2 linked regions of the Drosophila melanogaster genome follow. The protein of the gene in region 2 interacts with the protein of the main gene of each other region in a biochemical or structural test. Each region holds a gene or a part of one and is shown on either strand. Other genes may lie near its edges.

Region 1 (7,952 bases), on a different chromosome or scaffold from region 2:
ATATGCTGGCTTTAATCTGTAGGCACTTAAACTATAACAACATTTAGCTGAAATTATTATTTGATTGGCTTCCTAAAATATTGCTCGAAAATCGGAAGTAAATGTTTAGCCGAATGTGAATGTGGTATTAAGGCTAATGTGGGAACTTTTTTTGCCAGTGACTAATGGGTAATATAGTACGCAGTTTACTGCTAGTTGGATAGTATTATATTTTTTAAATAATTTAAGTTATTTCCAGTAAGTGCTATTTATTAATTATTACCCTCGATATTCTAAGTAAAAAGCTTTTCGATGTTGTCAAATGTATTTCCTAGCTCCCACAAACTTATTAACTCACCAATCCCACTCTATCGATCCAATTTGTATAATGGATCTATCAGATCGATAATTATGTTTTTGCTACTCCAGATGCCTTAATAACTTAATGCGGATCGAAGCAAATAGACGTATATGTGATGTGTTAGCTCATTATCGGGCTCGTTAGCTCAATCAAACGATTCGATCTACTAATTTGAACGGTCCGCATTAACATCGGCATTAGTTAGTTAGTTAGTTGCTAGATGCAGGCTGCAAGGATGACCGGATTGTTGGCAAGTACAAGTGCACATATGTAGATCAATGGCAAATTTGCTTCGATCTCGACATCGCCGCTAACTGAATTTGGTTAAAAGCTAACACGATTGAAAATAATGCTGCCACTGCCACTGCCACTGAAAATGTCATTCGAATTGGCGGCCCGAGTCCAATTTGAGAAGCGGCGGCAGCCTTGCCAACGTTATCAGCTTACAGGACAGGAATATATATATAATTATTTATATAGATTGCTATATGGTCGGTCTCGTAATCCGTCAGCTGCCATATGCAAATCCCAATCGCCAGATGTTTTGACGGGGCTTTCAATTATGCCATAGATATTGTAATGTGCCTGTACTTATCGCCCGGGCTTAGTTTAATGTGCTACATTTACGCATGCAAATTAGTTGTTAAATGTGCTTTTAAAATTTAATCGATATGGCTGGGTGCCACCTACTTACATCTCGGGCACGCACGCAGCCATGTGATCCGTACTTCCTGTTTACCATTACTTTGTTTTCCAGCTCACTTTCACTTGGTCCCTATACGATCCGCTTCAGCATCCGCTCTAGTTCTGACGCGATTCGATTGAGTCATTCAGGATCTAATGCGAATTGCTGGGTTCTAAAACTGAACGAGATCTTCGACTGTTGTTACACCTAGAAAAATGGAACGTATCATAAACGTAAGGTGCTTTTATTGTCTAAAACATTCTTAATAATTTTAACCTACTTCTTTAAAATAATTCTAGTGGTTAAAAACATTTCCCTAAAACAACTTACAGAGTAAGAATGTCATATATTTTCATTATTTTGCTCTGTGCACACACGGCGTATGCTTAACATTTGGCATGGACTAGCTTCGCTTTGTTTGGATTTGTTTTGGTTTTTTCTGTATGACCTGTTGAGGCTTTTCAAATGACTCCCGTTCGACTGACTGAATACTTTTGGGGTATTCTACCACCATTCCGATTGACGCGCACGCGCTAATGGTTAACCCCGCTTTTTAGCCAAGCTACAAGAGCAACAAAAACATGGCCAATGCGACGTTCTAGCCTGTTGCCGCACTTGAACTTGGTCGACCAAGTTGAGTCGAGTCAGGCCCCGCGATTCTCGACCCACTCAGCTGGCTGGCTAGCTGGTTAGCTGGCTGGTGAGAGGAAACCCCACGGCATCGGCATCTTGGCTTTAACCCAGCTACAGCTGGGCAACTACGTCACAGTCGCGTCATGCGAAAACCAGTCATCGTCGTTTGGTGAAGCAAACAATCGTCGGCAATCGGCCGAAACGTTCGTTAACTTGGCCGTCGGAATCGGAATCTGGGGGTATTTAAGCGGCGGCAACTCGACATGAAGCATGCATTGATTCGCTATCATTCGCCCTAAAGACTTGTGCCCAGCCTCAAGTAGTTTGCTGACTCTGTTTGTTGTAATACAATTTAGCTGACAAGGATAATACACATCACCACATCAGTTTCGAGTTCGCGAAAGGATCCAGCTAAAGTTCAACCGATCAACCATCTATATATCCCGCCGTGAATTCGAGAGTCGAGAGTTCTTGTCCAGCTCAATTCTAGACGCAAACAGTTCAGTACCAGGAGCGATTTTCTTGAAAAACAAAACCACCCAGCCAGATCGCCAATAAGCAGTGAAAGTGTCAACACATTTCGAGTGCTTATTGCAAATCAAACAAGAAAAGCGTAACCAAGCACATAAGCAAATAGTATTCTAAGTGTTTTTGCCAACACTTTGCGTAAATTTTTGTTGTTCACCCCAAACGAAAACAACCCAAACACACAAAAAAAAATGATGGCCGTTGCAGCAGCCCAAAAGAACCGCGAGATGTTCGCCATCAAGAAATCCTACAGTATTGAGGTGAGTCGAAAATCCAGCAAAACATACAATTTCCAAATCGAATTGTAAAAAAAAAGAAGCAAATGAGTGACTAGATTTGGTCTACGTGACTATCTAAAGGTTTTGTGTTTTCAAAAAAAAACCAGTTAACCGGCCAGTAGTCGAGCCCATTTTTGTGATCCCGCATTTCTTTTTCGCCAATTCAATTTGACCAAACTCAATCCTCGGTTGGCCATTAAGTCACACCTCTAAGAACAGGCGGCCCAAATCGAAAGGCCCAAATCGCCAACGGACACAACGGGTTGTGTGTTAAGTTATTATTTAACAAATAAGTGAAAGTGGCTGCCTTTGGGCCCCATGCACTTAGCCTGGCCGAAACAGTCGCGCCTCATTGTTGTTGACTCGTCTCTGTTTATGTTTATGCTGCGTCCGAGCAAAACAAAAAATATGAAATCAATATAAATGATTCAATGAGTTGGTCATCTTTCATCAGCCAAAGCGGTGGCCCAAAAAAAAAAACTGAAGAAAACAAACAAACAAAAAAAAAAAAAAACGAGCTGACAGTGAAAACTGCAAGTGATGGAAACCTTTTTCCCCCCATCAAGAAAAAGAAAGAAAAAAAACCTTTAACGATCGCCAGTTGCATTTTTTTCCCGCCAGAATCGCATGGGGATTTTCGATTTCTCAGTCACATATCATTTATCTTCGCACCTGCCCGCTTCGAAGCGGCGACATCGCATTAAATTACCATTCGTGGCTTTGAATCACAATCAATACAGTTCCATGAATAGCCAGCTTTATTCAAAGAAAAAGATCTGAAGACGGCGCTTTCACACACCATTTTATATAATATTTTCAAAATTGCGCAATACTCTGCTCAAAGTCACCACCCAAGCGTGGAGCCGAAGAAAGCCACCCTGGCTTGAAGGTCAAGGCAATCGTCTAATTTCCGCTCCACATCCTGCCAGTGTCACTAACACGGACTTCAATCTTTTCGCTTTCGTTTCCAGAATGGCTATCCATCCCGCCGTCGCAGCCTGGTGGATGATGCCCGTTTCGAGACCCTGGTGGTCAAGCAGACCAAACAAACCGTCCTCGAGGAGGCCCGCAGCAAGGCAAATGGTAAGTGGATAGGGTCCAACAAGTGGGTCACTAAAATAGCTCCAAAGAGGGTTTCTATTTGGGATCAAAAGGGAAATTTTGCAGCTAGGGCTTTACTTGTTGATTAAAAACTTAAAAAGTTGCAATTTTTATTTCATTTTATTCGTTTTGACATAGATTTGCGTTTTTTTCTTATTCATTTTAACCCTTTATTTATTATTTGCCTTCGTTTTTATTTTTATGATTTTAAAGACGATTCCCTGGAAGATTGCATTGTGCAGGCTCAGGAGCACATTCCCTCCGAGCAAGATGTGGAGCTCCAGGACGAGCATGCCAATCTGGAGAACCTGCCCTTGGAGGAATATGTTCCAGGTTAATATCCATTTCCATTTCAATTCCCATGCCAGTTACTCCTCTTTCTGAGCCTATTATCTTTGATTTGATTTTGATTATGATTTTCATGGGCTTTATTATTATTTTTATTTCATTCGCTTTTAGTTGAGGAGGATGTTGAGTTTGAGAGCGTTGAACAGGAGCAGTCGGAGTCGCAGTCGCAGGAGCCAGAAGGCAACCAACAGCCGACCAAGAACGGTGAGCAGGGGGTTCTAGAATCCAGCAGCCAACCATAAGTAGTACTTAACTTCTGAGAGGGGCTTTTGAAAAGCGTGCGACATTGATTTAAGTGCTTAATATGATAAAGTGCCAGGGCAGAGGAAAAGCACTCAGCCACACGGACAATTGTGAGTGGGCGCGCTCGCTCGCTCTCTCTCTCTCTCTCTCTCTCTCTGTGGAAATGTCGCATTTCCCTTTTTCATTTGTTACGCTCGACTTAATACAAGTACGAAATGCGTTTGCCTGGCAACCGTCTCACTGCCACTGCCACGTAGCTCGCTTATCGTTTACGTGACCCTAAGCCTTGGAAGATTGCATCCTTAACCATCACATTATCCCCGCTTTTTTTTGGCCCTTTTGCAGATTACGGTCTCACCGAGGACGAGATTTTGTTGGCCAATGCCGCCTCCGAATCCTCGGATGCCGAGGCTGCCATGCAGAGTGCCGCTTTGGTGGTCCGCCTCAAGGAGGGCATCTCCTCCTTGGGTCGCATCCTCAAGGCCATCGAAACCTTCCACGGCACCGTCCAGCATGTGGAGTCCCGTCAGTCGCGCGTGGAGGGCGTGGACCACGATGTCCTCATCAAGTTGGACATGACCCGTGGCAATCTGCTGCAGCTGATCCGCTCCCTCAGGCAGTCGGGCTCCTTCAGCAGCATGAATCTGATGGCCGACAATAACTTGAATGTCAAGGCTCCGTGGTTCCCCAAGCACGCCTCCGAATTGGATAACTGCAACCATCTGATGACCAAGTACGAGCCCGATTTGGACATGAACCACCCCGGATTCGCCGACAAGGTATACCGCCAGCGTCGCAAGGAAATTGCCGAGATCGCATTCGCCTACAAGTACGGAGACCCGATCCCATTCATCGACTACTCCGATGTGGAGGTCAAGACCTGGCGCTCGGTGTTCAAGACCGTTCAGGATCTGGCTCCCAAGCACGCCTGTGCCGAGTACCGGGCCGCCTTCCAGAAGCTCCAGGATGAGCAGATCTTCGTGGAGACCCGTCTGCCCCAGTTGCAGGAGATGTCCGACTTTCTGCGCAAGAACACCGGATTCTCTCTCCGTCCTGCCGCCGGTCTTTTGACTGCCCGGGACTTCCTTGCCTCCTTGGCCTTCCGCATCTTCCAGAGCACCCAGTATGTGCGCCACGTTAACTCACCATACCACACCCCCGAGCCGTAAGTATCTATCATCATATTTTACTAGGGGGTTAAAATCACTTCAAAAAGGGGAGAAAAAGGCTCTTTGTCCTAGCCTAATTGCATTTGCCTGCCTGCCTGCCGCCTGCCTCTGTGTGTGTGTGGGTGGTTGGGTTTCCTTTTCCGCTTTTCCCAAGCAACTTTTGTCGCCTGGAACACAGGCAAATTGGCTACAGGAACTGCGGCAGGCTGCCCAGCTCATTTAACCAGACTAATTGCCTTATGCCAGCACATTTTCCACACTTTTAACAAGCATTATTCTATGCCATTACAGCGACTCCATTCACGAGCTGCTGGGTCACATGCCCCTGCTGGCCGATCCCAGCTTCGCCCAGTTCTCGCAGGAGATTGGACTGGCCTCGCTGGGTGCCTCCGACGAAGAAATCGAGAAGCTGTCCACGGTGAGTTGATTTTCTAATTGAGTTGCAATGTAACGACCTTAGACTCAAGTGCAGCTATGACGCAGCTAGTTTTTTTTCGCAACCAAGATCATTGTTTAGTCACTGTCAAAGTCGAAGAGGAAAAGTGAACTTCAATGCCAGAATAATTTTTTTCTTTTTATTCATATAGTTTACAGATACAATTTAATGCATTTCAAAACACTTAATTGTGATTTTAAATAAGTTTTTAAGTTCAGAAAACCTTGATCTTATAAGTCATACAACTTCCTGCATTATCTGCCTTTGCTTTTATTTTCCTTCCTATTTACTCATTGGTTCCTTACCATTTCATTTCTACAGGTATACTGGTTCACTGTTGAGTTCGGTCTCTGCAAGGAACATGGTCAGATCAAGGCCTACGGTGCTGGACTCCTGAGCTCCTACGGTGAGCTGCTCCATGCCATCAGCGACAAGTGCGAGCACCGCGCCTTCGAGCCCGCATCCACCGCCGTGCAGCCCTACCAGGATCAGGAGTACCAGCCCATCTACTATGTGGCCGAGAGCTTCGAGGATGCCAAGGACAAGTTCCGTCGCTGGGTGAGCACCATGTCGCGTCCATTCGAGGTGCGTTTCAACCCGCACACCGAGCGCGTCGAGGTGCTGGACTCCGTCGACAAGCTGGAGACTCTGGTGCACCAGATGAACACGGAGATTTTGCATCTGACCAACGCCATCTCCAAGTTGCGACGCCCGTTCTAAGTGGATGGGGGGGAGATATATGTATGATATATAGAAGCACCCAAAAACATCGCCCAAAAAAACACCAGCCACCCCCACCACCCAAACATACACATACAGGTGCAACGGTCTCATTTATACAAATTAATTTTAAATTGACATACCGCACAATCCCTCGTACACGTAATCCTTAAACCAAAATTAAGGCATCGCGCATTATTTTTTATTTTTTGTTTATTGTTTTTTGTTTAATTTTTATTTAATTGTCATCGAAAAGTTGTAATTGTCGAATCGCGCACATGGTAAAAAACACAAAAATCAAGCATATTTATTTGTTGATCACCCGATACACCACCCAACCTGCATATTTATCACCGCAACTATTATTGGACCAAAAAATCTTTAGACGTTTAAGTGATGTGAAAACAAAGCCAAGCCAAGCCAAGCAAAGCAAAGCGAATTAAGTGAAGTGAAAAGCTGGGAAAGCAAAGTTCAGATACATCCGCACTTAGTAGGCAAAGTACCACACAAAAACCGATTGTATACTCAGACAAAAATTGTTTTTGTATTATTATTATCTTCATTTTGCCTCTCACAATATTTACCTAGACTATATAGACACGCGATATAGTATTCCCGGTATAGGAAGCTTCATTTAGAGAGAGTATTTCTAAACAAAAATGATATAGATACAACAATCGAGCAAGGAACAAATGGAAAACAAACAAAAAAAAAAACGGAAAAGATAAAAAATGAAATGGAAAACAAAACAGAATTTTCTTACATTGTACAATAACTGTAAACGACAATATTACTATTGTGTACTATTATTATTATTATCTATTATTATACTTATGACTATTACGTATTGTATTGTAGGTATGTAGAGTTTAAACATTATTATTTTATTTAAGTTTTGTGTATTAATAAAATTAAAAATGCAATTGAAAAATAATTACTCTTTGGTTTTTTCATTTGATTATCTTCTTTGGCAATTCGAAACTCTAAAGTCTGAATCTGTTTAGGGAACATTTTATGACATCAAAATGGAATATTTATTTAAAATTAATGAGTAGAATCGAGGAATATGATAAATATATTTATGGGTGAGAAGAAGTGAATCTCATGTGAACTAAAATCGAGCTATGTAGAAAATATTTCACAAATTTGATGAAATTATATAAAATAACGAAAAACCTTGGACCAATACATATGTATTATTATAAAGTAATTAAAATCAAAATATTTCAAAGTAAACAAAGTAAAACATTGGGATCAAGAATATTACATATTTATAGTTAACGTAGCATGGAATTTTATTGTTATTGTTCGATGTATTGTAGTTGCAATTGGATCGAAAGCCAACCAAGTGTTAACATTTCTGCAAGCAATTAGCCAAACTAATTACTAATTATATTCGCACATAAATCTATATATATAATCAACTTAAAGCGCAGTTGGTCCCCAAGCCAGGCTTCGTTGGTTCTGAAAA
Region 2 (5,722 bases):
TATTCCCAACTGATTTATTCGACCCTAAGCAGCGGTGGAAGGTTTTAATGTGCTTTACATTCCTTGTGGTTTGTACTTTTTTACAAACCCACCAAAATCTATTTCTCAGGACATATATATGTATATACATATATAAAGAATAACCTTCAACTCCATGCCATAAACAAGAAAAGTGCTCGCGATAAACCACGAATACTTTGCATGCAAATAAGATTCCGAATATATGCAGAGAATAATCAAATTTGGCCAGCTGGAGAGACTAGCTACTTTCAATTGAAGCCCCACATGTGGGATGCAGGGTTTCCCGCACAAAATGAGGACACTTCTAAGTGGGGTTAATGCTTTATTGATCGGCGTTATGTGCCAAAAAGCTGCACCCATCCAACCATTCCCTCACATAATGGTCTCCTCCTCCAGCATGTACTCCGTGAGATCGGCTTCGCCCGACAGCATGGTCACCGGCACCCGGTTCATCTGGGCCACCCGTTGACTGGGCCAGACCATCACGTCGCAACAGTTGGTCAACACGACCACATTGGTGCTCGGCGTGTTGGTGCACATCAGGTTGCCGGCCTTCTCCTGGTCGCACTTGTTGAACTTGCGCCGGAAACGGAACTTCACGGGCAACGAGTTGCCCATCACGCTCTCTTCATCGAAGTACGGCGGCAGGGATTTGTTGAAAGCCGGATTTGTGATGGCCGGCTTGGTTAGCTGATAGATGAGTGGAGTAACATCTAAATCACTGAAGCACATTGAATGTACAGATCACTCACCTCTTCGAGAACCACGGAGGTCTTGAGTCGGCGACAGGGATCACAGTAGTCGGAGGCCAATGTGTTCTCCGGTGTCTTGGTAGCACATGGATCCGGCTTGGGTTCGGGCACATTGGATCCCAAACCACTACCATGTGGCCCACTGTCACTGTCACGTTTACCCTTCGGATTCATGGGATCCTGGCCGCGCAATACGCATTCCTGCAGGAACTCTTCCTCGATGTCGATCAGTTTCTTGATGGCACAGTCCCGCTTCAGGAAGTTCTTGATCACGGACAGATTGCGGGGCACGGCGCCGATAACGTCGAAGTCATCGCTACGGAGCTGGAGGCGGTGCGCCATGACTTTGGTTCTCCAAGATGAATGGAGGGGCGGATGGTTGGAAGGGGGTTCGAATTTGGGGGAGTAGCTCGTTTCGAGTGGAATGTTTAAATGAACTACAACTTGACGTCTGGCCCCAAGTTGAGTGGGTTTCAAGGATATGCAAACAATAGTTGAGATTAAGTTGGCGCCAAGGATAAAGTGCACGTTTGAGGGCAAAAGCTTGGTACACTCTATTTAATAATATATATTAAGGGTAAACGCTACACTTATCCCAATAAGGTAGCTTTACTTTCCTAACAAGTAAATTGACCTACCACCCAAAGCTAGTTTTTAACATTTGATGGCACTATTTTCGTGGCTAGTGCTGTAGTTCTATCGCCTCCTGGCCGAGCAACAAGTTCGTGCGCGGTTTTACAGCCACTGGATGCCAAACCGTGGGCCTGCGCTCAGCTCGGTTTAGTTCCGCTCACTTAATCTCCGGCAAGCGAAACTCGGAGCAGAGCTTGCCCGTTGGATGGTCTGTTGGCTATTGATTGGAGCTTTCCGCCGCTCAAAGCTCCGCTCGAGAGGTTCTTATTGCCACCGCTGGCCACAGCAGCCACCAGAAGAGCAGAGCCACCCGAAGCGCCAACACGCGAAGACAAAGTCCGGCAGACAGCAGCGCAAAAAGAGACAGATAGCAGTGAGAAAATCATCGAGGAAAAAAGATTGTGTGCTAGCCGTCAAATTGAGTTCCATTCGAGTGGCAAACAAACCTGAGTAGCCGCACCGCCATGAGCTTTACCCGCCAACTGTCCGAGATGAGTGCCAGCGAGCTGAACGATGCCATCGACGACACCAACTTCCCGCAGGCCCACATCCTTTCGCGCGGACGCAACAACAGCGTCTGCTCAACAAGTAGCACCTCGGGCACCTCCTCGCTGGCGGACAGGCAGCAGAACCAGGCGGAGGAGGCCACTGCCATTGCGGGCACACCCGTCGAGGAGGTGGCGCCAGCTCCTGCTCTCGTCCCGTTGGCCGGCAACCAGAGACCCCGCCTCATCCTGAAGACCAACGGCAGCAGTCCGGATAGTGATGGTACACAACCGAAAACACCACTGACACCGCGTACATCGACAACGCCAGGTAGTGGTGGGTAGTGGTCCAGGACCAGGTCAGGGGATCCAGAGCTATGTTTGCTGCGACCGATTTAGTTAGTCAATGAACTAGGAGGAGGAGGAGTGCTTGACAAACTCTTTTTGAGCATAAACCGTACGCCTATCAGTGGGTTAGTGTTTCGGTTCAGAGGTCAGAAGATGCGCCTCGGAATGGGGAATAGTACTTAGACAGCCACACACAGCCAACGAAGGGGGGCAATGCCTTCCTATCTCGCATGATAACGATTCTCATCATGTTTCCATCCGTATTTCCATTTACAGGCCACGAGAAGTGCACGTTCCACCACGACCTGGAGCTGGACCACAAGCCGCCGACGCGAGAGGCCCTCCTTCCGGACATGGCACGCTCGTATCGTCTACTCTTGGGCGGCCTGGGCGAGAATCCCGATCGCCAGGGACTGATCAAGACGCCGGAGCGGGCAGCCAAGGCCATGCTGTACTTCACCAAGGGCTACGACCAGAGTCTCGAGGGTAAGCACACCACACATTTCAAGCAATTAGCACCGGGTCAGTGATCGAAGTTGCTCATCCTGGTTTTCCCAGCGAGTGGGAACTAGTTTCATGTCGGTGAATCACCATTTACGGGGGTTCCTCGGTCCGCTATGGTGCATTAGCCTAATTACCTGACCACTCGAGAGATAAAGCACATGAACATAGGGAGCCATTAGGCAATTTCGGGCTTGTCCAATCAAGTGGACGCATCCAAAATCCATTCAATATCCTATGAAATATGAGATTTGACTAGTAAAGTTTTTGGTCTCATGTTTGGCGTGCATTTCGACTTGCAGTCGCTTTTGAACTTGTCATGTAATCAATGTGAGTCGTTTGAGAAACAAAACAGAATTGCGAATTATATGGTTGCTACACCAGCATACCTAACCGGTTGCCCGAGAAATCAGGTTCTACGGTTTGTCAAATAAAATCGCATGTAAATTTAAGATCAACAGCAACAGCAGCAGGCCATTTGAAAGCTAAATTCGTTGAACGAAAGTGAATAGCCTTCGGCATCGGCAATAGAATGGGTTGGATTGTGTTTAACCCGAATTCAAAGAACCCAAGAAGCCGAGCCAACGTGACTTGCCAATCTGGTGTTGGGGGAACTCCACCCCCCTCCCCACCACACACACAAGATGCTTGTTGGATTGTTTGTTAGATGGCTCACTGGCTACTTGGCTACTTCTTGGCTTCTTCGCTGGTTGGTCAGGAAACGCACTGAAGCTTTCCGGTCTGTATATTAAGAGCGGTAAAGTGGGTGGGTGTGCGGTGCGGCGGCGGCTTCTATTCAAGGAATGGGAATCTCAAGAGCACATCGTTTAAAACGAGTGTGGCGAAAGCTCACACTCCACAAGAACCATAAGCCCATCCAGTCAAGTCAAGTCAAGTCAACCTCCCCCCAAGACCCGCAACCTCACACACGCACACACACACACAAACACTCGCTAAGCAACCACTTTAGCACTCACAGTCGCTTGAACTTAACATTCAGTATTCAGTTATGCAGCAAATAAATCTAACACGAATTACGCGCGCCATAAATCACGGGTAGCGAAGGAACGCCACTTGAGTAGCTTCGTGGTTGTGGGACATTGGGCGAACTTTTCAATAACGACTCCGTGGCGCAACGGTAGCGCGTCCGACTCCAGATCGGAAGGTTGCGTGTTCAAATCACGTCGGGGTCAGGCGATGATGAATTCCTTTTTCGTACTTTTTTTTTACTACACCATTTCAAATTTTTTTTAATAGATGTTCTCAATGGCGCCGTTTTCGACGAGGATCATGACGAAATGGTGGTGGTCAAGGATATTGAAATGTTCTCCATGTGCGAGCATCATCTGGTGCCCTTCTACGGCAAAGTTTCCATCGGTTATTTGCCGTGCAACAAGATTCTCGGACTCAGTAAATTGGCACGGTAAGATAAACTTAGTAATGCATATTAGATGATCTTTCATATAATTTGCGATCCCATAGCATTGTCGAAATATTTTCGCGTCGCCTGCAAGTCCAGGAGCGCTTAACTAAGCAGATCGCAGTGGCCGTGACTCAGGCCGTGCAACCCGCTGGAGTAGCAGTGGTCGTAGAGGGAGTGTAAGTATTAAATATATATACATATATATTTTAAAGAATATTATAGTTTAACGAATGGCTTTCCTCCTATACAGCCACATGTGCATGGTGATGCGTGGCGTGCAGAAGATCAACAGCAAAACTGTTACCTCAACTATGCTGGGCGTGTTCCGAGACGATCCCAAGACCCGTGAGGAATTCCTGAACTTAGTCAATAGCAAATAGAGTGGGCACTAGAGGACGCTACTGAAATCCGAGACCAACTAAACCCCTACAATATTTTTGGAGGCGCTTATATACAAACAAACAAAAATGAAACGAAACACAGGGTCCATTAGTTTATGTTTTTAGGATTGATTTCATTTAGTTAGTGCAATGATTGCGCAGCCATTTTCCTTGTTGATTTGTGTAAAAATTGTTGAAAAATTTTGTTAGCAAAATACGTTTTTTAGATAGATGAATGTAATGAGAAGCGAGATTCGAAGAGGACGAGATTTGAATACCGGTGTTGGGTAGTTTTATGTTCAATTTTATATGCAGTTTTATGGCACTTGAACGATAATTTTTACAACGTATACATACGATTAATGCATTGTGCAATAAGGGAACAACTGATAATAAATCACGGCAAATTGTTTAGGGAATTTACAATTTATAAACAGTTCACATCAAATTAATCAGATCTATAGTTATGTATGTATGTTAACCTATATAAAGAGTTGCATTCATAATGTTCCTCGACAGGGACCAAAGTATATTGGAAGATTTTAAATGTTAAAATTATATGCTCATTATGTAAATGACGTTGCTTGTAGTGAGTCAAAGCTGCTTATTAATTATACAATAAATTATGTATTTAAATAACGTTAAAATGAAGGATTTTTTATAAAATGTATAAAAAAAGAAATATCCCAAAAACAACAGGAGCTTTCTCGAATGACCCCGACGTGATTTGAACACGCAACCTTCCGATCTGGAGTCGGACGCGCTACCGTTGCGCCACGGAGTCTACTGAAATGGAGGCTACTAAGTGACAGGAATCCCCCAACACCAACAGGTTGTTGGTTCCAGTCGTGTAGTATCCATCATAGTGCTTTGTTTGAAATGCAGCAAGAGCATCGGTGGTTCAGTGGTAGAATGCTCGCCTGCCACGCGGGCGGCCCGGGTTCGATTCCCGGCCGATGCATAATTTTTTTTTAAATTTATTTCGTATATAACGAATCAAAAAAAAAAAAAAAAAACAGTGTAAAATATGATTCAAAGAAATAAATATAAATATTTTTTATTCAACTTCTTAGTTTGATAAATATATAATCTATTACTTGCAAATCCTACTGTGTACCTTTCGTTTGGACCCAAAATTATTGGATAACAATTTCACAATAATTTAATAATGAAGTCATA

What was found. Proteins that work in one complex are often made in the same cells at the same time.
Region 1: the proteins of Pu (region 2) and ple interact in far-western blotting, tested with the Drosophila melanogaster proteins (one study listed by BioGRID).

What each region holds. Positions count from the first base shown.
Region 1 is NT_037436.4:6,713,499-6,721,450, reverse strand, and holds the start of ple (pale), read left to right. Parts: upstream 1-1,925; 5' UTR 1,926-2,377; coding exon 2,378-2,446; intron 2,447-3,435; coding exon 3,436-3,547; intron 3,548-3,778; coding exon 3,779-3,898; intron 3,899-4,024; coding exon 4,025-4,117; intron 4,118-4,501; coding exon 4,502-5,321; intron 5,322-5,616; coding exon 5,617-5,743; intron 5,744-6,082; coding exon 6,083-6,481; 3' UTR 6,482-7,952. UniProt on the Drosophila melanogaster protein: Plays an important role in the physiology of adrenergic neurons.
Region 2 is NT_033778.4:21,177,423-21,183,144, forward strand, and holds Pu (punch), read left to right. Parts: upstream 1-1,695; 5' UTR 1,696-1,870; coding exon 1,871-2,222; intron 2,223-2,515; coding exon 2,516-2,725; intron 2,726-3,861; exon of another isoform or gene 3,862-3,933; intron 3,934-3,997; coding exon 3,998-4,163; intron 4,164-4,222; coding exon 4,223-4,339; intron 4,340-4,413; coding exon 4,414-4,543; 3' UTR 4,544-5,186; downstream 5,187-5,722. Other genes in the region: CG4286 (uncharacterized protein), read right to left, coding at 394-711, 774-1,115. UniProt on the Drosophila melanogaster protein: Isoform B is required for eye pigment production, Isoform C may be required for normal embryonic development and segment pattern formation.